Linked DNA regions of Saccharomyces cerevisiae S288C. Changing the gene in region 2 together with the main gene of any one other region gives a genetic interaction. Each region holds a gene or a part of one and is shown on either strand. Other genes may lie near its edges. The genes, in order: DGA1, PMA1, SXM1 and CCC2.

The links.
Region 1: mutations in PMA1 (region 2) and DGA1 together harm fitness more than expected from each alone (negative genetic interaction), as found in Saccharomyces cerevisiae (2 studies listed by BioGRID).
Region 3: mutations in PMA1 (region 2) and SXM1 together harm fitness more than expected from each alone (negative genetic interaction), as found in Saccharomyces cerevisiae (2 studies listed by BioGRID).
Region 4: mutations in PMA1 (region 2) and CCC2 together harm fitness more than expected from each alone (negative genetic interaction), as found in Saccharomyces cerevisiae (2 studies listed by BioGRID).

Annotation. Positions count from the first base shown.
Region 1 is NC_001147.6:793,576-798,333, reverse strand, and holds DGA1 (diacylglycerol O-acyltransferase), read left to right. Parts: upstream 1-3,001; coding exon 3,002-4,258; downstream 4,259-4,758. Other genes in the region: SRL1 (Srl1p), read right to left, coding at 26-658; ENV9 (Env9p), read left to right, coding at 1,541-2,533; NuA4 histone acetyltransferase complex catalytic subunit ESA1, read right to left, coding at 4,466-4,758. UniProt on the Saccharomyces cerevisiae protein: Catalyzes the terminal and only committed step in triacylglycerol (TAG) synthesis by using diacylglycerol (DAG) and fatty acyl-CoA as substrates. Required for storage lipid synthesis.
Region 2 is NC_001139.9:479,410-487,865, forward strand, and holds PMA1 (H(+)-exporting P2-type ATPase PMA1), read right to left. Parts: upstream 3,258-8,456; coding exon 501-3,257; downstream 1-500. Other genes in the region: YGL007C-A (uncharacterized protein), read right to left, coding at 3,532-3,618; BRP1 (Brp1p), read left to right, coding at 3,851-4,228; YGL006W-A (uncharacterized protein), read left to right, coding at 6,014-6,124; calcium-transporting ATPase PMC1, read left to right, coding at 6,512-8,456. UniProt on the Saccharomyces cerevisiae protein: The plasma membrane ATPase of plants and fungi is a hydrogen ion pump. The proton gradient it generates drives the active transport of nutrients by H(+)-symport. The resulting external acidification and/or internal alkinization may mediate growth responses.
Region 3 is NC_001136.10:1,261,584-1,269,944, reverse strand, and holds SXM1 (Sxm1p), read right to left. Parts: upstream 6,622-8,361; coding exon 3,787-6,621; downstream 1-3,786. Other genes in the region: UTP5 (Utp5p), read right to left, coding at 543-2,474; negative cofactor 2 transcription regulator complex subunit NCB2, read left to right, coding at 3,047-3,083, 3,176-3,579; proteasome regulatory particle base subunit RPT3, read right to left, coding at 6,978-8,264.
Region 4 is NC_001136.10:1,001,254-1,009,776, reverse strand, and holds CCC2 (Cu(2+)-transporting P-type ATPase CCC2), read right to left. Parts: upstream 4,103-8,523; coding exon 1,088-4,102; downstream 1-1,087. Other genes in the region: hydroxyacylglutathione hydrolase GLO2, read right to left, coding at 1-767; tryptophan--tRNA ligase MSW1, read right to left, coding at 4,634-5,773; iron-sulfur cluster assembly protein CIA1, read left to right, coding at 6,275-7,267; E3 ubiquitin-protein ligase HEL2, read left to right, coding at 7,754-8,523. UniProt on the Saccharomyces cerevisiae protein: Copper-transporting P-type ATPase necessary for the proper uptake of iron. Required for export of copper from cytosol into extracytosolic compartment.

The DNA.
Region 1 (4,758 bases), on a different chromosome or scaffold from region 2:
AAAAGGACACGTTTGAACTCATAATTCACCAACTGGTCGAATTAGTAATCGAAGTGGTGTTGTACCATTGTACGTTACCTGGAGAGGTAGTGGTAACAGAAGGTGCACCGGTGACAGTAACGTATTGTGTAGTCGTATTTGGGGTGACTGTAACGTACTGGGTAACGGGCTCATTGGTGACAGTGACAAACTTTGTGATTGGGACGCAACCATTGGAAGTTGAAGCCTGTTCAAAGGACTTGACCTTTGCATCTTTGTTGTTTGAATCTTCGTCACTGACACTTGCTGCAGTAGATGATGGAGACAAAGTAGTGGAGTCATGAAGGGTTAGCAGCAAAGTGGACGTGATAGTCGAGGTGGAGGTAATTTCATGGGTGGATTCTGGGGTTACAGATCCAGAGGCCGAAGAGGTGGACAAGGAGGAGGAGGCCGCATTGGTAATGGTGGCTGAAGTTGAGGTGAACCAGCTCGTGGAGTAGACCGTTGAGGTGACAAAAAAGGTAGTGGTGTCGTCGGCGTACGATATGGTAGTCTCTTGGGGCACCAAGGAGTAGCTGGGCGCTAAAGTGGTAGTTGTAGAAACAGTATTGTTTGAATAAATCGCTGACACAGAACTTGCGAAGGTTAAAAGAGCGAAAAAGACAACGGATTGAAGCATTTTTTTATTTTTGGTTGATAAAGAACGACTAAGGTGAGAGTGAAAGTGATGTGATTTTTAATTATGTAGTGTAATTGAAACAATAAAAAAAAAACAAGGGAATGGACGAGACCTATTAATGGGTACTATGGCTCAAATAGCAAAAAAAATTTGTAAAATGGGTAAAAAAATGAGAGAAATACGCGAGAAACCTCTTGGTTGGATGTTGTGCTAAACTAGTTGCTTAAACGCTTGCAAAACTTTTTTATAGATAAAATATGCCAAGTGAAAAGAAAAGGAAGCAGAAGAGAAAAACTTAGAAAGGTAGAGGTAAGAAAGAATAAACCAAAATGTAAGCTAGGTGAGGGAAATATTTTGGAGCTTAAATATCTCGAACGACACTCACTCTCGTCAGAAAAATCTGTCGAGTAACTCAGACCACCTCCGATAGCATACCTTGTTTAGTTTCATAATCGGCAGAGACGTCATTCCTGCACAGAACGCCAAAATTCGTGGCCCCCGCGGTACCTGAATCAGGGCCAAGAATTTTGGCGTTTCGTGTTGTTGACATATTCCGAAAAAGGTATTGAGCCACAGGTCTTTCGCGTCTTCTAAGCCCCAAGATAAAGAAAATGCCGCCCTGCTTAATCACTGTTTTTTTTTGGAAAACCCTGAAGTATAGAAGTAGGGCATTGAAAGAAAAGATATGCGGGTAAGATATGAAAAAATTGAGGAAATGAGACCCAAGTGTACATGGGTATATATAAACAAATCATTATGGTGCATGATGCATCACTTACAATGCACACACACTATTGTCTTTGTAGAAACGGGGAAGACAATGGTTGTAGGCCTGATTGGTATTAGAGGCATCCGCAGTACGAGACATACGCCAAAGGCAGAATGTTAGACCCACGAATATTGCCATACTACGACCCGGCTGTGGAGAGGAAGATTGCTGTAGTAACAGGCGGAAATACGGGTATTGGGTGGTATACTGTCTTGCATTTGTATTTGCATGGGTTTGTCGTTTATATTTGTGGGAGAAACTCTCACAAGATTTCGAAAGCAATCCAGGAGATACTGGCAGAAGCAAAGAAGAGGTGCCATGAAGATGACGACGGTTCAAGCCCAGGCGCGGGCCCAGGTCCAAGCATTCAGCGTCTAGGGTCACTGCACTATATCCATTTGGATTTGACAGACTTAAAATGTGTGGAGAGAGCGGCACTTAAAATTCTCAAGCTGGAAGACCACATAGACGTGCTTGTTAACAATGCAGGGATTATGGCGGTGCCCTTAGAAATGACGAAGGACGGATTTGAAGTGCAATTGCAGACTAACTACATTTCGCACTTCATCTTCACGATGAGATTATTGCCTTTACTGCGCCATTGTCGTGGCAGGATCATTTCCCTGTCCTCGATAGGCCATCATCTAGAGTTCATGTACTGGAAACTGAGCAAGACGTGGGATTACAAACCTAATATGCTTTTCACATGGTTTAGGTACGCGATGAGTAAAACCGCGCTAATCCAATGCACGAAGATGTTGGCCATCAAATACCCTGACGTTCTTTGTCTCTCCGTTCATCCGGGTCTGGTGATGAACACAAACTTATTCAGTTATTGGACAAGGTTACCCATCGTCGGTATTTTCTTTTGGCTGTTGTTCCAGGTCGTAGGGTTCTTTTTCGGCGTATCGAACGAACAAGGTTCACTAGCTTCTTTGAAGTGTGCATTGGACCCGAATTTATCTGTCGAAAAAGATAACGGGAAGTACTTCACCACGGGGGGTAAAGAATCTAAATCGAGCTACGTTTCTAACAATGTCGACGAAGCGGCATCGACTTGGATCTGGACCGTTCATCAACTAAGAGACCGTGGTTTCGATATATAACAAGACGGAAAGATTGAAAGAGTAGATAGATGTACATTTTATTTAAATATTAGTTAGTCGTTATTGTAACTGGTAATCAGAGCAAGAAGTTTTTCTGTACTTTGTTCTCTGCAGGCAACTAAGTTACGGGCCGACAAAGGCTTATGATGTGCGTTTTTTATTCAATTGATAGATTCAGTCAGCATTGACGTAATGGGAAGGCTAGAAAAAGAGAAGACTGAATTTGGAAACTTATTCCTCAAAGCAGACCAGTACTTCCACCGCATTTCTGTACTTAACCAAGCACGACAGTGGTCTATCAGGCTTGGATCTTTCACTACACTTCCGCCAAAGTTTTTTTTTTTTCCTGTTTATCCCAGATCACGTTTGTTCCATTAAGGAGGTTTACTATCATCTCATTTCCATTTACACATACACTTACATATACATAAGGAAACGCAGAGGCATACAGTTTGAACAGTCACATAAATGTCAGGAACATTCAATGATATAAGAAGAAGGAAGAAGGAAGAAGGAAGCCCTACAGCCGGTATTACCGAAAGGCATGAGAATAAGTCTTTGTCAAGCATCGATAAAAGAGAACAGACTCTCAAACCACAACTAGAGTCATGCTGTCCATTGGCGACCCCTTTTGAAAGAAGGTTACAAACTCTGGCTGTAGCATGGCACACTTCTTCATTTGTACTCTTCTCCATATTTACGTTATTTGCAATCTCGACACCAGCACTGTGGGTTCTTGCTATTCCATATATGATTTATTTTTTTTTCGATAGGTCTCCTGCAACTGGCGAAGTGGTAAATCGATACTCTCTTCGATTTCGTTCATTGCCCATTTGGAAGTGGTATTGTGATTATTTCCCTATAAGTTTGATTAAAACTGTCAATTTAAAACCAACTTTTACGCTTTCAAAAAATAAGAGAGTTAACGAAAAAAATTACAAGATTAGATTGTGGCCAACTAAGTATTCCATTAATCTCAAAAGCAACTCTACTATTGACTATCGCAACCAGGAATGTACAGGGCCAACGTACTTATTTGGTTACCATCCACACGGCATAGGAGCACTTGGTGCGTTTGGAGCGTTTGCAACAGAAGGTTGTAACTATTCCAAGATTTTCCCAGGTATTCCTATTTCTCTGATGACACTGGTCACACAATTTCATATCCCATTGTATAGAGACTACTTATTGGCGTTAGGTATTTCTTCAGTATCTCGGAAAAACGCTTTAAGGACTCTAAGCAAAAATCAGTCGATCTGCATTGTTGTTGGTGGCGCTAGGGAATCTTTATTAAGTTCAACAAATGGTACACAACTGATTTTAAACAAAAGAAAGGGTTTTATTAAACTGGCCATTCAAACGGGGAATATTAACCTAGTGCCTGTGTTTGCATTTGGAGAGGTGGACTGTTATAATGTTCTGAGCACAAAAAAAGATTCAGTCCTGGGTAAAATGCAACTATGGTTCAAAGAAAACTTTGGTTTTACCATTCCCATTTTCTACGCAAGAGGATTATTCAATTACGATTTCGGTTTGTTGCCATTTAGAGCGCCTATCAATGTTGTTGTTGGAAGGCCTATATACGTTGAAAAGAAAATAACAAATCCGCCAGATGATGTTGTTAATCATTTCCATGATTTGTATATTGCGGAGTTGAAAAGACTATATTACGAAAATAGAGAAAAATATGGGGTACCGGATGCAGAATTGAAGATAGTTGGGTAATAATGAATTCATTGGAAAACACAAAATATGTTAGAATAAATAAGGATTTTTTAGTGTTTGGGCTGTATATCTTAAGTAAGAGTATTAACTTACAGGAATACTGGAGTTCTCGTTGAATATTAGTGATTGTTTTACGTAAATTTCATTTATTTAAAGCTTTTACATTAGAAGTTGTTTGAATGTAAGTTTAGGAAAGCACTACATAGCTTACCAGGCAAAGCGTAACTGAGAGGCAGTAAATACCGGTGGTTTCCATATGAGTCTATTAGGGTCTATTGTCCTTCTCTTTTTGGCTTTAAGTCGATTGTACCTATCTAAAATATCTTCATTCAGGAAAATAATATGCTGACCCTTGTAATATCGCAGGATATTCAGTGTCTTTGCTGTGTGTAATATATCTGTAGTGGTCATCGAAGTCATGGAGCTTATTTCGTCTATAGTAATTTCCTTCTGGTGTTCCACTAATAGCGTTATGAGAGTGTCCGACCAATAGGCTCTAT
Region 2 (8,456 bases):
AAATTAGTGTGTGTGCATTATATATATTAAAAATTAAGAATTAGACTAAATAAAGTGTTTCTAAAAAAATATTAAAGTTGAAATGTGCGTGTTGTGAATTGTGCTCTATTAGAATAATTATGACTTGTGTGCGTTTCATATTTTAAAATAGGAAATAACCAAGAAAGAAAAAGTACCATCCAGAGAAACCAATTATATCAAATCAAATAAAACAACCAGCTTCGGTGTGTGTGTGTGTGTGAAGCTAAGAGTTGATGCCATTTAATCTAAAAATTTTAAGGTGTGTGTGTGGATAAAATATTAGAATGACAATTCGAGATGAAATTTTAAGCAAACTCTAGTAGGAAATAAGCGGCTTATTCTTGTTGGCTCCTAATTCTTTTTAGTGTATCAGTTCCCATTGATAAAAAAATTAAAATTAAAATTAGAAAAATTAAACCAGAAAAATCAAGTTGATTAAAATGTGACAAAAATTATGATTAAATGCTACTTCAACAGGATTAGGTTTCCTTTTCGTGTTGAGTAGAGACTCTTTGCATAGCAGCCATGAAGTCTTCGACACTTCTGGTAGACTTCTTTTCCTTCATTGGCTTACCGTTCATCAATCTGTCAAAGGCTTCAGAAGTGGACATTTCGTAGTAGAAACCACCCAAAACACAGAAGATACCGATAGACCAGATCCAGACACGGACGACAGTAACAATATCAGTCCAGTTTTCAGACCACCAACCGAATAAGGTAAACATGGTAGCGATGATGTCGACAGCGAAGACGGCACCAGCCAATTGCCAGGATGGGATAGAAGACCAGAATGGACCAGCAGCTCTGGTAATGAAAATCAACCAGTTTTCAGTCAAGGAAATTTGCAAGAACATAATACCGTTCATAGCACCGAAGTTTTGGATAATACCACCCTTTGGTAAGAACATAGTAGTCAAGGTAATCCAAGAACCTATAGCTAAAACTATGCCCAAAATAATAGACATACCCCATAATCTTGGTAGGTTCCATTTAACGGGCTTTGGAGAGTAAGGAGCATTATCGTAAGCAATAGCCAAAGTAGCAACATCAGCGAAAATAGCGATGAAAACAATCAAATCAATGTCCAAAGAGTTATCCAAAATAGCAATCCATAGACCCAAGAAGATTTCCAAATGTAGAGACAAAGCAATACGGTAAACAACGTAAGAGTACATTCTGTGAAAAATTTGTCTGGAGGTCTTCAAAGCATCAATAATAGCAGATAGACCAGGAGCCAAGAAAACAATATCAGCAGCAGATCTGGCAGCATCAGTAGCACCTTCGACAGCAATACCAGTATCAGCCTTCTTCAAAGATGGAGCATCGTTAACACCATCACCAGTCATAGCAACCAAGTAACCTCTGTTTTGCAAGATTTCAACAACTCTGTATTTATGTTGTGGGAAAACTTCAGCGAAACCATCGGCATTTTCAACAAAATCAGCTAATTCAGAACCTGGCATGTCACCACCGCCACCTAGACCTAATCTTTCAGCGTTGTAAATGTTGGTACCCAAACCCAATTGTCTACAAGTTTCCTTAGCAATACCAACAGCATCACCAGTTAACATCTTAACTCTTAGACCCAAGTGTCTAGCTTCGCTAACAGTTTGAGCAGTATCGTCTCTTGGTGGATCCATACATGGCATAACACCCAAGATTTCCCAGTGACCTTCACCTCTCTTTCTAGCAACACCTAAAGCACGGAACCCTCTAGAAGCCAATTCAGCAACCTTGTTTTCGTAGTTTTCATGGACATCTTCTGGGATTGGGTGATCTTCTTCGACAGTCTTCAAGACGAATAATGGAGCACCCTTAACACAAACAATTCTTTCACCTTCTGGAGATTCGACAACGGCAGTAACCTTCTTGGAGACAGGGTCAAATGGATGGAATTCCAAAACCTTGTACTTGGTCAAAGCGTCCTTAGCCTTTGGATATTGCTTCAAAGACTTCAAGAAAGCCTTATCAATAGCATCCAAACCCTTCTTCTTTCTGGAAGCAGCCAAACAAGCAGTCAACATCAAGTCGTCTGGAGAAACACCTTCAACAGTGTATGGTTCGTGCAAGGACAACTTGTTCTTGGTCAAAGTACCGGTTTTGTCGGAACACAAGATTTCGACACCAGCCAAGGATTCAATAGCAGACAACTTTTGAACAATGGCTTGTTTCTTAGCCAAGTAAGCAGCACCGACGGCCATAGTGGTGGTAACGACAGCTGGCAAACCGACTGGGACACCAATAATAGTAATACCTAGAGTGTATCTCAAGATTCTAACAATACCGTTGGTTCTGTAGAAACAAGCAGTCCAGACCAACAACAAAGTGGCAATGACCAAAACCAATAAGATAATACCAATACCGTTCAAAACTTCAGTGAAATGACCTTGACCACCAGCGGCTTTGTTAACCAAAGCAGCAGCTCTACCAACGAAAGTGTTGTCACCGGTAGCGGTAACAACCATGAAACCTTCACCTCTCTTAACAGTGGAAGAAGAGAAAGTTTGGTCACCGTAATGTTTGTCGACAGCCAAAGATTCACCAGTAATAGCAGATTGATCGATTTGCAAGAAACAGTCTTCAGTGACAATACGACCATCAGTTGGGATAACAGTACCATCTTCCAATTGCAAAATATCACCTGGGACGACTTCGTTGGCTGGAATTTCAACCAATTGACCGTCTCTGATAACAACAGCAGTGTTAGCCAAAGTCTTTTTCAATTCATCGACAATAGAACCAGCTTGGAATTCTTGAACGAAACCAACACCAGCGTTTAACATTAACAAACCACAGATAACACCGAAATCGACCCAATCGGACAAACCGGCAGCCAAAATAGCAGCGGCTTCCATAACGAATTGAATTGGACCGACGAAAAACATAACGAACTTAACGACTAAAGATTCTTTTTCGTCAGCCATTTGATTCAAACCGTACTTCTTTCTTCTTTTCAAAACTTCATCGGAAGTTAAACCGTAAGATGGGTCAGTTTGTAAATATTCTTCTGGAACTGGTCTAGCTTCACCGGCGGCAACTGGACCATCGTTATCACTGTCTTCGTCGTCGACACCGTGATTAGATTGTAGTTCTTCGATTAAAGCATCGATATCGTCATCGTCAGAAGATTCAGATGCAGCGTCATCGTAAGTCTTAGCAGGCTTTTCTTGAGTTGGCTGATGAGCTGAAACAGAAGATGCTGAAGAGGATGATGAAGAGGATGATGTATCAGTCATATTGATATTGTTTGATAATTAAATCTTTCTTATCTTCTTATTCTTTTCAATGATTTTCTTTAACTAGCTGGGGTATATTTTTTTTCTTTCTTTTGAATGTGTGTATAAAAGAGAGAAAAAATGGTTATTTTCCAATTAATTAATTATTAACGATTGTTAAAGAAAAAATTTATCAACGAGGTTGATAGAAAAAAAAAGTTTTTGTAGATATAGAAGAAAAAAAGATTTTCACTATTGGTGTTATAGGAAAGAAAGAGAAAAAATTTAAGAGAAATTAGATGTTAGACGATAATGATAGGACATTTGAAAATAATACAATATTTGGCCTTTTTATATAATCGAAACTAATGGAGGGGAGCATAAGCGGTACCCACCATCGACCACGTTTCGTCACCGGTCATAATTGGAATAAACAAAACAAACAAACGAACTAAAGAGTGTGAGAGTAACAATTTCCACAGAGGTAAAAAAAAAAAAAAGGAAAACAGAAACAAAAAAAGCTCATAGTTCTACTATAGCTTCTTCAGACTTTCTGTGAACGAGGGAAAAAGACAACAAAAAAGCAATGGATAAACGGTCTCGAGAGATTTTTCATGATGGAAAAGGAAGGAAAAAAACCCGAAAGGCATATGGATAACATTCTGAAAATGTCTATTCCTGTCAAAAGCATGTCAGAGGTCTCGAGGCCTGGAAGTGCCGCATTAGGAAATACAGATGCAATGCGCGCGAGTTTACGAAATTCTCGCAGGAGTTTCTCCGGCCATGTGCGGCTGGTTCTACGTCTCGTGTATGGGTTTATTTCTGCGGTAATTATCGCCGGATCTCCGCTTCGAGACCGGGTTTGTTTTCAAATTACCGGAAAAGGTCAGGCAAAACAGAGTGATGTATGGGTGATCCCAGCAATGCCTGTTTATGTTTCTCCGTTTCAGGAAGCTTGTTTTGTTTTTTCCCCGTCAGCGATGGTGACGTAAACGACTTTTTGCACTTTAGCAAAGCTGAGTTAATCTCGGAAAATCTCTGTGTCCTTCCTTTTTCTTCTAGCTTCCGTTCCGAGTCTCATCTTCTTTCCCGTGCCGTCGGGTTTAGTAAAGAAATGTAAAGAAAAAATGTCGTATCGTACCCGAGAAATATTTCAATTCTCTTACGTATGCGATAGCAGTTGGAAAGATCTGATTCGTTACGATGACTTGATAAGCGCGGGCTTTTTCGCCCTATACGGCTTGGGCCTGACTAAAATGTGATTCTGTGTTTTACGTATATGCGCGTATATAGAGCAATTGATTGACTTATTACGCAGTTTATCAAGATAAATTCTTTGTTCTTGCTTACGGGAGTGTGGTAAGCATGTATACGCCCGTTTAAAAACCCGATGGAGGCTTTTTCCCCAATTCTCGTACTCCATTGGGCATATGATTTCTTTCTTTTTCCCTTTTTTTTTTTTTCTATTTCCCTAAACTAACAGAACAAGCTTCAAAACAAATGACGGAGAGAAAAACAGTTTTGATTTACCAAATGCGGCAAACTTATTGAGGCTAGACACAGCTCTACCGGATTCGTCCGAGCACTTTTTTGTTTTCTTTTCTATATTTACTACAAACATAACAAAGTTTTGTGCGTCTTCCCTAAAGCAGCTAGGATGAAAATCCTATGCTCTCATCTCGCTGGTTGCCATCTCATCGCATCCAATGCTGTCTGTAATCATTTTATTGGACTTTTCTTTGTTTGCTAATCCCCCTTTTCTTTTTCCCGTTCTTTTCTTGTCCTTGTTTTTCATTTTAACTATATTTCTGAAATTAAGGAAAAATAAGGCAAAAAGTGGGTGGATGCATCTGCGACTTCTCTAGTTTTGCGCCTACTTGGGCGCGCTAATAATAAGGGTTTAGCTTCTTAAAATAAAAATGTCAGTAACAGTTGTACGATAAGGTCTTTACTTTTTTTCTCTCGAGAAATGTCTTTTTCTAATTAATCTCTCTTTTCTGTTGTTGGTTACTGCCTTCCATAGTCCAAGACCATTCGTTATATGGTGCAGTGTAGGATCGAGGAGAATCGGCTCACGGTGCTTATATTATTGCCCGGCTTCAAGTATATTTACATCAGTCTCCATAGTTGTTTTATCTTATTCTTGGCATTGATCTGCTTATTAAACTATTTATCGGTTCTCTCTTCTGGTACAGAACTTAACATGATCTTGTTTTCACTATTGTGCCATAAGCTGAAAAGGCTAAAATAAAATTAAGATAGTAAAGTTCACTCTTAAACTAATCAAGCATGAATAATACAAAATAAATATTTGAGCCAAAGGGGATGATTTAATTATCAAGTTTTTCTTTTCATACTTCGGTTTACAAGCATTGTTTACGGCTCTTCTTTTCTTAGTTCTTGGCAGTTTGTGTTTTCTTGATGAGAATAAGAAAAGTATCGATCTTACGGCAAAACATAAATAAAACACAACTTTATCTTTTTTTGTCGCAGTAGTGTGGTCCTACAGCTCCAAGCCTGCCGCTTTTAAAATAGTGAGCTGTGCATACTGATATATGTTCTATTTTACCCATTTGAGGGGCCTAAATTGTCTATTAATTTTTTTACTTTAATACAGTTTGTATAGAAACATGTGGCACTAACAGCTTTATCCGCCCGCAGAAAAGATAAAAAAAAAGGGTTTTTACCCGGCAAAGAAGCTTCTCCATCATTTGTCAGGGGGAAAAGAAAATTAGGAGGCTCAGGCCCTAGAAGCGCCCTCCACGCTTTTTAAACAAATGCTAATCTTCATAATTCATTATCATCGCCACTTGGCATTGCATTTAATGGGCGCCTTCCAAAAACATTCAAATAGTATCAGCCCCCCCCCAAGGAAAGGCTTTATTTGAATTGCGTTAAATATTCGATTTCTTTCTAGCAATTATTACCAAAATAAATTGCAGGCTTAACGAAAAATTAAATAATCTCTTCAGATTTTTTCACTTCCCCAAACTACATTTTAGTCAGGTTGGCACGATTCAATTGAGAAGGCTTAGGTTAAGAATAAACATTTTTTCATAAATTTGAGGAAGAAGGGGCTTTTCTGGTAATTTTCATTCAATAGAAAGGCTTAAGAAAACGTCAAAAAACTCATGCGCCTCCAGTAAAAACTAAGTGTATTAAGAGAATTGTATCACATATATACGACATTGAATTAAAGAAATAAAACTTGAACAAATAAAGTTTAGAAAAGTGGTTCTAAAAAAAAAAAAACTGTGTGCGTAACAAAAAAAATAATGTCTAGACAAGACGAAAATTCTGCTTTACTAGCGAATAATGAAAATAACAAACCATCGTATACGGGAAATGAGAACGGAGTCTACGATAATTTCAAATTATCAAAAAGTCAACTTTCGGATCTTCATAACCCTAAATCAATAAGATCATTTGTCAGATTATTTGGATATGAGTCTAACAGCCTCTTCAAATACTTGAAAACAGATAAAAATGCAGGCATTTCTCTTCCAGAAATATCAAATTATCGAAAGACAAACCGGTATAAAAATTATGGCGATAATTCACTTCCTGAAAGAATACCAAAGTCTTTTTTACAATTAGTATGGGCTGCTTTTAATGACAAAACAATGCAATTACTGACAGTCGCCGCTGTTGTTTCCTTTGTTTTAGGTCTATACGAACTATGGATGCAACCTCCACAGTATGATCCTGAAGGAAATAAAATTAAGCAAGTTGACTGGATTGAAGGGGTTGCTATCATGATTGCGGTCTTTGTGGTAGTTCTAGTGAGTGCCGCTAACGATTACCAGAAGGAGTTGCAATTTGCAAAGCTAAATAAAAAGAAGGAAAACCGTAAAATTATAGTCATAAGAAATGATCAGGAAATATTAATTTCCATTCACCACGTTTTAGTCGGTGATGTCATTTCATTACAAACCGGTGATGTTGTCCCCGCTGATTGTGTTATGATATCAGGGAAGTGTGAGGCAGATGAATCATCCATCACTGGTGAATCTAACACAATACAGAAATTTCCGGTGGATAACTCATTAAGAGATTTCAAAAAATTTAATTCTATCGATAGTCATAACCATAGCAAACCATTAGATATAGGTGACGTTAACGAAGACGGTAACAAGATTGCTGATTGTATGTTGATTTCAGGTTCCAGAATTCTCTCTGGCTTGGGCAGGGGTGTCATCACGTCCGTGGGTATAAACTCAGTTTACGGTCAAACCATGACTTCATTAAATGCCGAACCTGAAAGTACTCCATTACAGTTACATTTGAGCCAATTGGCTGATAATATATCCGTTTACGGTTGCGTGTCTGCTATAATTCTTTTCTTGGTCCTTTTCACTAGGTACTTATTTTACATAATACCTGAGGATGGCAGGTTCCATGATCTAGATCCCGCTCAAAAGGGTTCTAAATTTATGAACATTTTTATCACATCTATCACGGTTATTGTGGTGGCTGTTCCGGAAGGTTTACCATTAGCTGTAACTTTGGCCTTAGCGTTTGCAACAACAAGAATGACAAAAGACGGTAATTTAGTACGGGTTTTAAGAAGCTGTGAAACGATGGGATCTGCTACTGCAGTGTGCTCTGATAAGACTGGCACTTTGACAGAAAATGTCATGACTGTCGTTCGTGGCTTCCCGGGCAATTCTAAATTTGATGATAGTAAATCGTTGCCCGTTAGCGAACAAAGGAAGCTGAATTCTAAGAAAGTTTTTGAAGAAAATTGTTCGTCATCCTTGAGAAATGATTTATTAGCCAATATTGTCCTGAATTCTACCGCCTTCGAAAACAGAGATTATAAGAAAAACGATAAAAATACAAATGGTAGTAAAAATATGTCAAAAAATTTGAGTTTTTTAGATAAGTGTAAATCTAGATTATCGTTTTTTAAAAAAGGCAACAGGGAAGATGACGAGGATCAATTATTCAAAAATGTCAACAAGGGTAGGCAAGAACCCTTTATTGGCTCTAAAACGGAAACAGCCTTACTCAGTTTGGCAAGATTATCATTAGGATTACAACCGGGAGAATTGCAATATTTGAGAGATCAACCGATGGAAAAGTTTAATATCGAAAAAGTTGTTCAAACAATTCCGTTTGAAAGTTCTCGTAAATGGGCCGGCTTAGTGGTAAAGTACAAAGAAGGCAAAAATAAAAAACCATTTTACAGGTTTTTCATTAAAGGTGCAGCAGAAATTG
Region 3 (8,361 bases), on a different chromosome or scaffold from region 2:
ACTGCGAAGGGGGAACAAAATCTAACGGAAATTGGGCTTATCAAACATGTTTAAATAGAAAATTCTATAGCAGCTCATCGCTACCCGATTTGGGACAGATGGAGGGGGAAAAATTTTTTTTCCTTTTCTTTCCTAGTAAACGCGAAATATAGAGAAAAAAAATGAAAGAAGTCAGATAAGCGGAAATGATATTAATTGAAATTAATCTAATTAATTTTTTCAGAAGAAAAAAAAAATAAGTGACTCGGAAGGGAAATATGTACTGTCTTTTCTTAGTTAACCAACTATGGTTGTGACGTAAAAGTGGAGTGCTTGCTTGATGTTCCAGATGGCCTTACTGTTAACGATGCCAGATGCAGTTCAAAAAGGATAAACGATTGTGGGGGTCTTTTGACAGATCTTCTTCGCGTGGGATACTTTCGTGATCTTTTTTTTTCTTTTTTCTTTTCTTACATTATGTGGTGAACTCTATATAAGTATTTATGTGCCTAGAGATTATTTTTGTATTCTGATGCGTGAAAGCATTTTATGCATGATATCCTCTATTCCATCTCAACGTCACTATATCCGGCTTCCTCCTCGCCGTCGCTCTGCTCCGTTTCTAAACGGCCATCTTGCTTAGATGAGGTATGCTTCTGTTCCTCTTCGTTGTCACTATCACCTTCTTCTTCTTCTTCACTGCCATAAGATTCTTCACCGTCCTCTATAAGGCCGGCATCATCGAGTTCTTCGTTATATTCAACGTCGTCTTCGTCCTCTTCGACAACTGGTTCGGATGAGTGGATGTCGCCTGCTTCATAGTTCAAAGTTTTGAATTTATTTATAGTACAGTCTAACCTTGCATCCAGTGCTAGTAGCCTTGGTAATAAGTCGGAACGCCTTTTCAAGGTGGAATGTAACGACGATAGAGTAGACATCAAATTTGGAATAGAAACCAAATAGCCACCGTGTATGATTAAACACCATTTTACCCAAACATTCAATGGGCCTTGACGGTGGGTTTGTCTTGCAATCCTCTCTGCCAACCTTTCTAAGAGAATGACAGCCAGTGCTGGTTTCAGACGGAAGATAGTATCCCTAATGACCCTCTCGTCACGATTATTGAGCACTGTTTCCAACAGTGAATGATCATTTGATTGTAGTGCTTGCGACAGAATTACTGTTACCGTCCCGGTTGTCGTAGCAGTCTTGAGATTGGAACCTTTTAAATTTGTTTTTTTCCCACTAATCCTTGCGACGGTGCTTGATTCTAGCTTATCACCAAATGTTTCTGTTAATAGTTCATTGGCCTGTGGGGGCTTGGCCTGTTCTTGTTCCAAAGAAGTCAATTCTCTTTCCCAGCTCTTTATAGCGTCATCAACATGCTTGAAGTTATCTCCAGAGGTGACTCTTGCATTACCTTCCACGTAGTTGGTGGCTGAGGCAAGATCTTTACCGTGTAGATCGCGATCGGCGGACTTATTTTTATTATTCCAATTTAGGGAAATTTCGACGGTATATTCATTAGGGATTTCTCTCCACTGCAAGTTCTTGAAGTAAGGCATAGTAGCATTTTGTAACCACGATACGTTCAAAAGGTCTTTATTAATAAATGCGTTATAAATTGGAACTTTCCTGCCGTCTTTACTGACGATTTGAATCTTTTTGCTGGATTTTTTGGACTTGTTGCCTCTTTTCTTTGTTGAACTCGATACCAATGGATCAACAAAAATTTCCAAGCTACCATCCTCGGTAGTGACTGCGATAGAATCGGCTTGGCCTGAATGAGATAACTCCTTGATATCTGATTCAGCCACAAGGACGCATTTGGTCATACCGGAATGAATATCATATACGTTCAAGAATCTATCACCCTCTGCGCCTGATATGAAAAATTCATTAGTTATAACTTGCAATGTGGACACTGGAGATACATGACCGGGAAATGTCATTACGACTTTTTTCTCTTCGATGTCTATTAAAGAAATGGAATGGGATGCAACCAAAAGTTGTGCAACAGAATCGCCTGCTGGAACAATGGTTAGTTTATTCAATTGAACGCAGTTGTTTATTCTAAAATGTTGTAACAGTTTGAATTGTAACAGATCGAACTGATAGAATGCGTCGCTGGAGTCGATACACCACAGTTGATTACCCATCAAGTCTATGTCTTTGATTTCGTAAGAATTCCCCGTAGTGAATTTATAGGTGACTTCGTTGGCCAATACGGAATATAGCCAAATTTCACCGTTATTCATACCCAATATAATAGCCACTGTGTCGGAAGAAGCCAGGTTTACCCATTTTAAGCACGTCACCTTCAATTTCGAGTCCTCTAAATACAGAAAATTCTCATTCCACACTGTATCAACTCCGGAGGAAGTGGCCCTTTGAGTGGGCTGTACACCAACGCGTTGCTTGTCCAAAGCTACAGTGACATAACACAAATACTGACCTGATGGGTCATAAGCGGACTGTAGAACAGGAGAATCCATCGGTAATGAACAATTATAAGGCAAATGTGTCTTTTACCCTCTTGCTAAGCCAAGTTTAAACTATATATGCTCTGCATCTATCTTTACATACATATATCCTATCCAATACTTGTTAATTTTTTCACCTCATCGCTTCAGCTGCGAAAGATTAGAAAAAGAAATGAAAAAAAATTGGATAAAATTTTTTTGTCAAGAAGCTCATCCCCGTGTTAAATGACAATCAAAGAATAAGGGGAACTGTACAACACGTTCAACCAAAACTATTGTAAAGAAATGCCACCACTATGCAGCATAGCCTGTTCATGCGAATAGTCGCCGCAAAAATTACGATCTGGTTTAATCAGCTCGGGCTCTTATCTTTGGCGTATTCCAGTATGTGCAATTAACTCTTGCACCACTTTAAAACGCCCAGCCCGCTGCACTCTCCCTCCTATATAAATGGAAGCGGTTTTTGGTCGCGCTTTTCGCCCTCTGCTCGCCTTGTCGATTTCTATCGTGCAGAGTTACCAGTATAAGGTGGGCAAGAAATCATAACGATATTTACTAATACAGTTGTACCTATTAATTAATTGATGGCTGGAGACTCCGATAATGTGTCGCTTCCCAAGGGTATGTTAGTTATATTGTTGTTGCAAAACTCAAGCTTTGATGCGGGTACTGAGCGGTTATACTAACTTAGAGAAAACACTGAATGATCTTAGCGACCGTACAAAAGATGATATCTGAAATACTGGACCAGGATTTGATGTTTACCAAGGATGCAAGAGAAATCATCATCAACTCCGGCATAGAATTCATAATGATCCTGTCCTCGATGGCTTCCGAAATGGCGGACAACGAGGCTAAGAAAACCATAGCGCCCGAGCACGTGATCAAAGCGCTAGAAGAGTTGGAGTATAATGAGTTTATACCATTCTTAGAGGAAATATTATTGAATTTTAAGGGTTCCCAGAAGGTGAAAGAAACTAGGGATTCCAAGTTCAAGAAGTCAGGTCTCTCGGAAGAAGAGCTGCTACGACAACAAGAGGAGTTGTTTAGACAGTCAAGGTCCAGATTACACCACAATAGTGTATCTGATCCGGTTAAGTCGGAGGATTCTTCTTGAATAGAAGCTTCTAAACAAAGTAATGCTATATACGAAAATAAACCACATGGGAATATGTTAAGCGCATGCATGTATGTAATAAAAACGAAGACAAGTCCAAAAAAAAAAAAGAACGAAAAAGAAACAACTTTTATATTTGTATATTAGAGTATAAACTAATATCCTTATTTCAAACTATCACATTCCACTATTTTTTTTGTGTTCTCCTCAGTGTTGAGAAACAAATTCCAGAATTACCTGCAAGGAATCTCTCTTAGATTCATCCAGATAATTTATGATTTTTTCGTACTTACCGGCATCTTCGTTTTGCAAATTCTTGAAAAAGGTATGTACTTCCTGGAAAACATTAATTTGGTCTAACACTGTCTCCTTCATATCATCATCACATTCGATAAAGTATTCTTCTTCTTCTTCTGGGGTCAGGTCTCCTTCTAAGGATTTGCCCTCGGTAACAGCATCACGGTTTCTAATTGCCTTTGGCAATGATAATGTCAATTCCACCAGTTTATTGGTCAGGTTATTTAGTAGTGGGCTGACACTATTAGGAACTTCAGGCATCTTCAAAAGGGTTAAAATGACCAGGACTTGTAATTTGATGGCGAAGACACTGTAGAACTTTTCATTAAACCAATTGGTAAAGAAATTTATAGTAAAACCTTCATTTTCCATTATTTGTAAAGTTTCGATTGGTTTAGCAAACAAATTGGCCAGTCCCAGTTTAACGATGCATTTAGAGTCCAATCCTAGCTCATCATTAGTGGATACTTTGATGGCTTTGCTGAATAATGGAATGTCTCTCATGGACAGTGCGAAGTACATTAGAATTTGCATAACATGCTCGATGTCGTAGTCAACTTCACTTTCCAGTTTAGCAGAGAGAATTTCTAGCAGAGGTTGAACATAAGTTTGATCTTGTGGGAAGCCGGTCATCACGATGGTTTCAAAAAAAATACTGTAGGCCTCAAAATAGTCCATGGCATAAGTTTGGAAAGAATCCAATATATCATGTAACAACTCCCATATTGGTGGTGCAATTTGGTTATAAAGCAGATGCGAAGAAATAGTTAAAGCATCCAGTAAGTCGACAGCTTCCGTAATAAAAGAAATTTGTGCATGAAGTACAACAAACTTGACCACGGGAGCTAAGGACTCGATTAATGGAACTTTATTCATTGACATGACCATAGTAGTCATTGTTTGTAACAATCCACTGGCCTGGATTTCCTGCTCTTGGTCACTTGCGCTGTAGGTTTCCGATGGATTTTCTACCAATGCTTGAGCAATACGTAAAAATTGTTCGACTAGGTTTGAAGCTAAATCTTTAGCAAATGGGGATAGTTCATCTGAAAATCTCTCCACCAATGCTTCCATGACTTCAGATAAGATATCGATTTCAAAGATTTTAGACAATTTCAATAGCTTTTCCATCATACCTGGAACATGAGCAGAGACCGCTGGGTGGATTTGAGGATTGGATACAATTAAACATTTAATGGCATCTGCGGCCTCAATTTGGACTGGTAAAACGTTACTGTTTAAGAAGTTGGTATATGTTAACTCAAATAATTGTGACAATATGTTCATATCTTTAAATTCTTCCGAATACAGCGCTATCGTTTCCAAACTTCTTGCAACCAAAAACATGTACTTATCCTGCGATAACAATGGCACGATGAAGTGTCCAAAAATATTCTCCAGAACGGATGGCTCATCTATAAACGAAAACAAGTTAGACAATGTTCTCAAAGCACCCTCTTCTTTAAATGCCATGTTAATATCACTGGAATTGGCATCGAATCTAGTAAAAATATCATTAATGAACGGTAAAATATTGTTCAGTTTCTCAGGACGTTTGGACCCAATCAAGAATATGAAATCTGCTGAAGCAGCATCTGGCGTAGAGCCTTCTCTGTTAATGTCAAAATAACGCCTGGTATATTCCTCTTGGTCATCTTCTAATAATTCGATGGATTGTTCATTAGCACACAAACATGGGAAGATGACGTTCTCAAAAATAATTTGTAAATGTGGCTCAATTAAAGGATAAAGTTGATCTATTGTAACACATTTCTCTAGGAATGAAATTAAGAAATACAAAGAGGAATCGGATAACCATAGTGAATTATTACCCCAAGCTTCAATATCCTTAAAAAATTCTCGAAGAATTATAGGAACAATAGTATTGAAGATATAGTCGATAAATTCCTTGGTGATGGCCTTTGTAATTTTGTTGTATCTTTGCAGGAATCTGTTTAAGTTACCGAACCCCCATTTGTTCACTTTAACCCTTTTGTCTAGGGACCTATCTGCGGGATCCAGTTCCATTACTTCGACTGGTAATGGTTTGGAACATAAATACAAATGTAGTTGCACCCATGACATAATTCTTTCAGGTTGGCTGAAGTATTGAGGCAAGTTGTTCAAACATGCATACTTGAATGACTTCAAAATGAGGTACAATATTTCATTAGATCTGTAATCCGTTTGACTACCGATATTAGAAGCTATCCCTTCCACAATAGGGAAAAGTTCTTCGATAACAGAATCAATATAATCTCTCGACCCAACCATGTCCCACCTATGAGCTTTACAAAGTTGGAACAGTAGTAGTAACCCGGGATAAATGTACGATGCGTCACCGCTCGATAATAAATTCTTGATAATAGGTGCTAAATCCCAATCTTCCTGACCAACAAGTATCCCATTTATGGTTTCAGTCAGGATAGGCCTAATGTGGTTATTTTCACAGTTTTTAACTAAAGTCTCGATTAACCTTTCCTTGATCGAAAGCTTTTCGTCAGCTTTTATACCATCTTCTCTCTTAGTATCCCATGATCTGTGAATCTTATTCTTCAAATAAATAGCAGAAGAAAGACGAACATTTAGCGCAAAATTATCATCAGACACTATATTAAGCAGAAAAGAAGTAAACCCAGGTTGCTTCTGGAACTCAAATAACTGCTGTTCTGCCTCTTTGATAATTTTTGCATCAGCAACCATAGTCTGCTCAATGCAGCTCAAAATTGCCTGTTCTTGTACCATTTCCTTTTTTGATTTATCTCCTTTGTTGTAGACGGGCGCAATGTTAAATGTTTATGACACAAATCGAATAGCAAATCTACACTGGGATGAAGCAGAGACTGCGTACTTGATATTTTGGTTGTACTTTATTGATTGAGATACTTGTTGATAGGTACTCATCTTACCATCTCATTTGGAAAAAAAAATATCACAGAAAAAAAAAAGTGAAAAACTTGGCTAGCGACGTCCGGTTGCGCGCGGAATAACGCTAAGAAACGTGATAAAAAAGTGGCGTCTGTATTTATTTCATTTAGTGTTGTCTAGATAGAAATGTACGTAATACTTTATGTAGACCTACGTTGAAGCATATATGGTAATCATTTGTAGAAGTCGAATTTATCGACGGTATTATCTGTCTTGACTTGAGTGGCGTAAGCTTCTTCCAGATCGCTTTGTAAGATGACATATCTGTTTTTCCTCACTGCTCTTAAACCAGCTTCCTGCATGATCGCTGCAATAACAGCACCTGATAGAGAGTCGTTACGAATAATAAGCGAGTCTAAGTCCGCTTCTGGGGCAAGGGACATCTTACTGGCAATGGTACCGAAAATCAAACGACGTTCACGCCTATCACGAAGTGAGGGAAACTCAATCTTTCTATCTAATCTGCCTGGTCTCAGCAAAGCTGGGTCCAATGTGTCTGCCCTGTTTGTAGCCATGATGACTTTAACGTTGGTGGATTGATCGAAACCATCCATTTGTGTCAACAACTCAATCAGGATACGCTGTACTTCACGATCGGAACCCGTTTGAGCATCAAAACGCTTTGTGGCAATGGAATCTACCTCATCTATGAATATAATGGATGGAGCATTTTCCCTGGCGAGTCTAAAGACGTCACGAACCATTCTTGGACCTTCACCAAGATATTTGTGAACAAATTCGGAGCCATTAACTCTTATGAATGCAGCTTTTGTACTATTGGCGACGGCTTTAACAAGCATCGTCTTACCGGTACCTGGTGGACCATATAATAGAACACCCCTAGGAGGGTCAATACCGATTTGCTCGTATAGATCAGCCTGAACTAATGGCAGCTCTACGGCTTCCCTGATTTCTTGCTTTTGCATATCTAACCCACCAACATCTGCATAAGTGACGTCAGGTTTTTCGTTTTCGCCCATTACGGATATGCTAGAGTCGGAATCAGGTGGTAGGATGTCAACTAAAGCATTTGAATGACGATGTAAAGCTACAGACATAGATGGCTTTAATAGTTCACGGTCTAGGGTTGATAATATTCTAACGACATAACTCATACCTGTGGTACTAGAAACAATACCTGTGTTCTGATCAATAGGTTCTAAGAATTGCCCGATAACTAATGGAACCGACTGGATTCTCTTTACTTCTTCTTGAGCTCTCTTCAATTCACGTTTCAAATGGCGTTGTTCGTCCTTAATATAGTCTTCTTGCAAAGTCAGCAGTTCATACTCTTTTTCTAATTTCTTCAATTTGAAATATATATCAGAATTCACATTAGACAGGGCACTGTTATTGTTGACTGTACCATTGAGTTGAGCCAACAATGATGCGTATGATTTGACGGCTGGTTTTTCTTCGACTGCCTTTTCGACAGGTGTCACAATACCTAGTTCCTCCATTCTTGTTGTGGTTTTTACTTTATAAATACTTGAATTTTATCCGATTGCCTCTTGTATAACTTATGAGTGAAAGGAAATAGGCAGAATTGGTTTGTCC
Region 4 (8,523 bases), on a different chromosome or scaffold from region 2:
TTATTCGTATCTCCGGCAGCTTTTTGGACCTTTGGATCTTCTAATCTCATGAATGGATTAAATTCTACCTCATCTTTCAAAGTGAACCGCCCTGCTGTGACTTCATGCTTGGAGCAGAATTGTTCTAACTCATCCAATGCTTTATTTTCACCAACTTGCGGGTAAATCTTACGAACAAACTTTACATTATCACTTGTGTATTCGTGTCCTGGATAAACCCTCGTTTTACTCCAGTTCTGCCTGCCCACAGTTTCTAAGATAGAATTGTTCAGAGCTATATCCATTTCTTCGCCTGTACCCTCAAAAAACCTACCGCAACCAGCGGTAAATAGTGTATCGCCAGTAAAAATGCAGCGCTCATCTGTTGTTGGATCTTTCACATAATAACAGATAGAGTCTCTGGTATGGCAGGGCGTCCTAATACAAGTAATCTCTAAGTCACCTAGGTGTAACTTTTTCAAATTCTCCGGAATTATCGTAACCTTTGGGCAGTCCTTTGACCCTCCTATAACCTCAACTTTTGAAGTTGGATTTTTCTCTTTTAAATACTTCAAGATATCAGCGTTACCATCTGCATGGTCATAATGGTGATGTGTATTAACAATTGCTTCAACACTTATTTTCTCATCCTCAGTCAACTCTGGCAGAACCTCAGGAGGCTCTGCTGGATCGATTAGCCACGATTTTTTATTTTTACTGTCGGACAATAGATAGCAGTAATTAACACCACCAGACTCCCATCTCATTTTAATCGATTTAACCTGCATTTTTTGTCCTCCTTTTCTTGTGTTTTTGTGTTGTCCTGCAGTCTTCCCTTTGATATTGGTAAATCTAGCAACTTATCTAAGAATACTAAAATTTTTCTAAGAGGGATATAATGGGTTTTTAAATCGGTAAAAAAATCCTTATTACCTCCATAATATCCCTTGAAACCGACGGGTAATACGACTAGTAGACTTACTGAAAATACATAGAGTAGGAGTAAAATATATGAATTTACTAAAAAATTGATGAATATTAATTATTATTATTGTTATAAATCTATATGCTCGTGGATTTTTTTAAATAAATTAGACTTACCTGTTATTTACAAGACTTCTTCGTTTGACATTAGTCCGGCCTGTGATTCTATGTCTTGCTCACCTGCAATAGCCCGCGTAGAAAAAAGCCTTGACCAAAAATTCCCAATCGAAAATTTGGACTTGAAATCTGAAATCCCATGTGATTCAATATCCGGTGGAGTCCACTTCTTCAACATCAATGAACTTAGAACGACACTGACCGAGCTGAATGCCATCGCTAAACCGGCGAGCATTGGAGGAAGAGTTATGCCCCAAGGAATGAGCACACCCATAGCAATCGGAATCATGAATATATTATAGCAAAGTGCCCAGAACAAATTCAGCTTTATTCTTTTGAACGTTTTTAGTGAAATATCGATGGCGTTGGCCAGTCCTCTCAAACTATTAGTATTCAGATCATTACCGCACAGTATAACAATATCAGCTGCTTCAATAGCAATCTCCGTACCTGTTGAAATGGCAATACCTAGATCACTCAGTGCTAAAGCGGGAGCGTCGTTAATGCCATCGCCAACAACAGCAACCTTGTTATTACCTTCTTTATCTTGAATTTTTTTCACGAGATCACATTTGCCTGTGGGTGACACATCGCTGTAAACATTTTCGAAGCTTATACCTACTTCTCTAGCGACTCTTTTTGCTGCTGAGTTATTATCGCCAGTAATCATATACGTTTCATATCCATTTCTTTGTAGATACTGAACTGTTGCGTAAGAATCATGTTTAACTTCATCATTAATCTCGAACAAGCCAAACACATGCCCGTTTACTGATACGTATGATACAGTGTTTCCTTGGTCGACATTACTGTTAATAAATCCGGATTTTTTTAATGCATCCTCCAAAATCAGCGCCTCGTTCCCAATACAAATATCATAAGTATTTCCATTAACTTGACACTTTGAGACTATTCCCTTTCCAAGCACGTATTCGCTTTCTAAAACAACGGCATTTAAAGCCTTATTACAGTTCAAACCATCACAATAACGTATAATTGCTTTCGAAACTGGATGGTCACTAATGGATTCCGTTGCTTTTATACAGGCGAGAACTTCGTCTTCATCCACGTTTCCAACCCAATTTGAATCTTTAAGGAACTTTTTCACAACCATAAAACCTGTAGTTAAGGTACCTGTTTTATCAAAAACAAAAGTAGTAATACTATTGAATTTTTCCAATACTTCTCCGCCCTTTATTAAGACACCATTCTGAGCTCCAACCCCTGTACCCACCATTATAGCAGTCGGCGTGGCAAGTCCCAATGCACATGGGCATGCGACGATGACAACAGAAGTAGCAGTTTGTAAGCAAATAAAAAAATTATCAGCCTTAGTATTTGCGGTGAAAGCGACGGGAGGATTAGCCGAGATGTTTAAAATAAAACACCAAATAAAGAAAGTCAATACTGCCAAAATTAGGATCCCCGGAACAAAAATAGAGGCTAAATAATCTGCATACCCCTGAATGGGAGCTTTACTCAATTGTGCTTCTTTCATTACCTTGATAATATTTGCTAATTTAGTTTCCTCCCCAACGGTAGTAGTTCTGAAGTAGAAATGTCCAGGTCCATTAACAGAACCAGCAATAACCGGAAAACCAGTTTTCTTGGGCACCAAAATGGATTCGCCTGTCATTAACGACTCGTCAATTTCAGATTCACCTCTTGTTATGATGCCATCAGCAGGAATTTTCATCCCTGGTTTAATCTCCACTATATCGTTCACTTGCAATAATTCTATGGGAATTTCCTTGGTTTCATTCCGCTCCACGTCAGATATAATTGAACACACCGATGGAGTGAGCTGAATTAATTTAGAAAGTGCGGTTGATGTTTGTGATTTAGCTAAAGTTTCCAAATATTTCCCGATGGAAATATATGAAATGATCATGATTGATGTGTCGAAAACGATCCTTGGGAGTTTGCCAGTACTTGAGGGATGGAACATATTGTGAACTAAAGAAAACACAGAAAATGTGTATGCACAAGTAGTGGAAACACAAACTAGTGTATCCATGGTTCCTGAACCGTGCTTTAAAGATGCCCATGCTGCCTTGTAAAAGTAAAAACCAACGCTGAACTGAATATAGCTTGCCAATATTACACCCAAAATATCTCTGTAGAACAGACCTCTAACAAAGGAGGTTTCTTTGTAAGGGAATATGCGGTCCTGAACAATTGTTGGCCACATCATAGGGACAATCATATACAATAGCATACATATTATAGCCAAAAGGGTGGATTTTATGCTGTTTTTTTTCCAGAATCTTATCTCGTCCTCTTTAGAGAGAAGCCTTAACTGGGTAGTATTATCTAAATTGGAAAATACAGTGAATTTATATCCGGTCCTCTCAAGGTGCCTCAATAAATCTCTAATGCCGAGTTCGTTACAACAGTATTTTATGGTGAGTGTGTGCATATCATCAGAAATTTCTATCGATTTTACACCTAGGTCTAACAAAAATTGAAACCTTTCGCTTACTGAAGAAAGTATGAGTGGGGATTCGTCCTCGAAAGCCTTAGTTACTTTCAAGATCACCGTTTTTTCGGTCATGTCTGCATTCCCGTTGCCATCCATAATAATATTTGAGTCAAATCCACAGTCTTCAATCATTTCTCTGGCGGTTTCTAGCGTTGTCTTGGACGGTTCATAAATAACATGGCACTCTTCCGTTACCAAGGAAACGACTACCGATTCAACACCCTCAATGCCTTCCACTTGTTTGGTGACTGTAGAAACACAAGACCCACAGGTCATACCTTGTACACTCAGTAGTCCTTCCTTCGTACTTATGGCTGTAATTTCAGAATCTCTTAGTATCTCACAGTCAAATCCACAATCCTCTATAATTTCCTTAATAGAATCGGCGGTAACCTCGTTATCGTATGTCACCTGGCACTCATTAGTCACTAAACTAATATCACATTTTGTTACACCCTTTAAAGCTCGTAACTGCGTATTGATTGTATTAGTACAGGCGCTGCATGTCATTCCATGTACAGCAAGTATCACTTCTCTCATTTCGTTTTAAGTATTAAACACCTCAACTCCTTGGCCGCAAAATTTACGAAATATCTCAAATACCTTTGAAAAGTAGCTTAGTACCAGGCAGAATTAAAGTCTAATCCATATGTCTCAAATTTGAGAAGAAATCCATTAGTTACCGTGACTTCCCTAAATATATACAAGTGTGTGCAAAAGGTCTCGGAATCACCGGTGCAAACCCTTCGGCAGCTAATTGCACTCATCGCCGCACTGCACCCGTTCTTTTCCACTGCCCGCGAAAATCGCTACTACAAATAACTGCACCCAGGACAATACTTACACAGATCGACCTGTTTTCGAGCCAGACGGTGGCAACACAACATTCTAACGGTGCTGGCCCTCTGCAAGAGACTGTACCAACATCTGCGTATTTTTCAAGATACTAACGTTTATTGATGAGATCTGCCGAGTGAGGAATCTTGCATATTCTGAAATAACAAAGATACGTACAAGTTAAACTGTATTATTATTTACATTGCGTTTGCAGCAGCCTAAAGCCGGGGACAGTCAGAAGCCCATTATTTTATGAATGTCGGCCAGGTTTTTTGCTGCTTTTTCTCTCGCTTTGCGCATGCCAGATTCAACGACACTATGCAAATAGGTCGGTTCGTTGATATATTTCTCAAATTCTGTTCTTGGGCCTTTCAATTCCTCAATTATCACTTCTGAAACATAATCTTTGAAATCCCTATAGTTATTGAAACGAGATACATCTTCTACGACATCTTCAATCGATTTTCTTTGAATGCCACTGACAATGTTAATTAAATTCGATACGCCTGGTCTTTCTACAGGGTCGTAGTAGAACCTATCAGAAATGGAATCTGTTAAAGCTTTTCTAATCTTTTTCTGAATTGCCTTAGGCTCATCATTCAAAAAAATTACAGAGTCGTGATTCGGATCACTCTTGGACATTTTCTTTTCAGGCGTGCTTAAGCTCAAAACTTTTTTCGTTTGTGCCAACATAGTTACAGGTTTAGGAAAAAAATTTTTCTTGTACATTTTGTTAAACTTTTCAGCAAGGTGTCTTGTTAGTTCCAAATGCTGCGATTGATCATCGCCAACAGGAACGTGTGTAGATTTATAAAGTAGAATATCCGCTGCCTGTAAAACAGGATACGAAAATAAGCCCAGTCTAACTTTTCCCACGTCAGAATCGTTAACCAGATAATCCCCATTAGTTGATTGTTTGATATTCGATTTTGATTTCCATTGCGTCATGCGGTTAAGTAATCCCATCGAGGCAAGAGTAGAAAGCAACCAGTGTAATTCACTGTGTTGAGGGATGGCGGATTGGTAGATCACCGAAGCCTTTTCTGGATCTACACCGACAGCCAGTATACTTGCTACTGCCTCATGGCGAAATTTTCTAAACATTTCTCCATCTGGCTTTGGAACAGTGATAGCGTGTAAATCAGCAACTCCAAATATCAATTCCTGGCCAGGTTGTTTTAATTCACATAAGTCTGTCCAAACACGTGTAGCACCTAGATAATTACCAAGGTGGAAACACCCAGTTGGCTGAATCATACTAAATACCGTAGCATTACTATGAAGCGCTTCGGAATTCAGCTTAAAATCGGCACGTTGCACTGTGCTTATCCACCTTTTACTGATTAACTTCAGAACCGCCTGCTTATTCGACATCTTCCTTGTAAAAGATAGTGTAAATATTTATCAAAACCTGATTCACTCCTTAGTAACGTAAAACCTTTGAGATGGTGCAGGTAGCCTGTAATAAATCATAATACCCTTTTCTACTTTCTCGAAGCCGATTTTATCACGTGAAAAACAAAAAATACCTTTGCACTTCTATCTTGTTTTGTGTTGCCTTTATAAGGAGAAAAAGATCTTCAAGAAAAGGTCATACTAATTGTAGAAACGTTTGAATTTAAGGAATCTGACTCTGATGTGCATAGCAGTGTTACTACTATTTATTTTCTTGAAAAATACCATCGTGATTGCCTTCAAATAGGTCATCTAAAACTTTCTGCTCTCAGCGGGCCGTGTTTTGAAAAATCTCACATCGAATATTGTATCGTCTTTGCCTCATTAATTGCGAATAAATACTAGATTTGTAGATATCACAAATCAAAATCGGGCTATACCACGACATTTTAATAGTTCAATTGGTTTACTTATTTGGTAATGGCGTCTATCAATCTGATTAAGTCTTTGAAACTTTACAAGGAAAAGATATGGTCTTTTGACTTTTCTCAAGGTATATTAGCAACAGGTTCAACTGATCGAAAAATTAAGCTAGTTAGCGTGAAATATGACGATTTTACGTTAATTGATGTGCTAGATGAGACTGCTCATAAAAAGGCGATTCGATCTGTGGCGTGGAGACCTCACACTTCGCTGTTAGCGGCTGGCTCTTTTGATTCCACTGTATCTATCTGGGCTAAGGAAGAATCTGCTGACAGAACTTTCGAGATGGACCTGCTAGCTATTATCGAAGGTCACGAAAATGAAGTAAAAGGTGTAGCGTGGTCGAATGATGGATATTACCTAGCAACCTGTTCCAGAGATAAAAGCGTGTGGATATGGGAAACAGATGAAAGTGGCGAGGAATATGAGTGTATTAGTGTTTTGCAAGAACATTCACAAGACGTTAAACATGTTATATGGCATCCATCTGAAGCATTACTGGCTTCAAGTTCTTATGATGACACCGTCAGGATATGGAAAGACTATGACGATGACTGGGAATGTGTTGCTGTCTTAAATGGCCATGAAGGAACTGTTTGGTCTTCTGATTTTGACAAGACTGAGGGCGTGTTTAGACTGTGCAGTGGAAGCGACGATTCCACTGTACGGGTATGGAAATACATGGGTGACGACGAGGATGATCAACAAGAATGGGTTTGTGAAGCTATTCTCCCGGATGTACACAAAAGACAGGTATACAATGTTGCATGGGGCTTTAATGGCCTCATTGCTAGTGTAGGAGCGGATGGAGTACTAGCGGTCTATGAAGAAGTAGACGGAGAATGGAAAGTTTTTGCTAAACGTGCATTATGTCATGGAGTTTATGAAATCAACGTTGTGAAGTGGTTGGAGTTAAATGGTAAAACTATACTTGCAACAGGCGGTGACGACGGGATCGTAAATTTCTGGTCTCTAGAAAAAGCAGCGTAGATGTAGAAGCAAGAGTACAATTCAGGAACTCATATTAACACAGTGATCGATCTGAATTCTAAAAATAAACTTAATGACGATTTTTCTACCTAGTTACATAAACCTTTGTATCACTATAACGCAATTCTGTCATGTGTGACGGAGTGACCTCGTTATACATATCCCTGCATTAAAAGCATGCGGTAAAAACTGAAATTTAAAAATGAAAAAAAAAAAAATTAGATATTCGGAAGACTTGTAATTAAGCATTATCTCGAATAAAGAAAGGTTACACTGAAAGTTTCATACTCGCGGTCACTCTTAATAATAGCTATATTTTCTGATTTTCTCTTAAGATTTTGAAAAGGGCATCTGAACGACTGCCCACTCAGCCATATTCAACAAATCGTCGAGCGCATACCTAGCTGAAAAAGATCCATAAAGTGCATTTTGATACAGTCTCTTTCGTCGAAAAAATAGTGGCTATACTTCTTTTCAAGAATTAGGATGAGCGAATCAGTGAAAGAAAACGTTACTCCGACACGTAACTTCCGTCGTACTCAAGGGCCCCAAAATAATACAAAACCTCACAACGACAGGAAGAATTTCAGAAGAAAGCAAAAGAAAAATAACCTTTCTGCTGAACCCAACCTCACCACTTCAAGCGCAGATGATACTGATGAAGAAAATGAATTATGTGTAATTTGTGCGCGCAAGTTAACATACGTATCTCTAACACCATGCCATCATAAGACATGCCATATCTGTGGTTTCAGACAACGAGCTTTGTACAACAAGAAAAGCTGTTTGATTTGCAGAACGGAGAATGAAGAAGTCATGTTTACCGATCGCATAGATGGTGATATTTCAGATAAATATAACTTTTGCGAAAAAAATGAAAAATATGGAATAAATTTCACTAGCGAAGAGGTTGCTACCGAAACACTAAATCTTTTAAAATTTTTTTGTCCCCTATCGAAGGATGAACAAGTTTGTGACTTTGGTAGTTTCAAGAAATATAATGAACACTTGAAATCTGAACATAACAGAATGATCTGTTTAATATGTGCAACCCATAAGCATGCATTCCCTTGTGAGCTTGAAATATTCACCCAAAATCAATTACGCAACCATCAAACTAAGGGTAATTCAGAAGGATTCAAAGGCCACCCTATGTGTGCCTTCTGTTCCGGAAAACGATTTTATTCAGACGACGAATTGTACATTCACATGAGAAATCAGCATGAAAAGTGCCATATTTGTGATAAGATGAACCC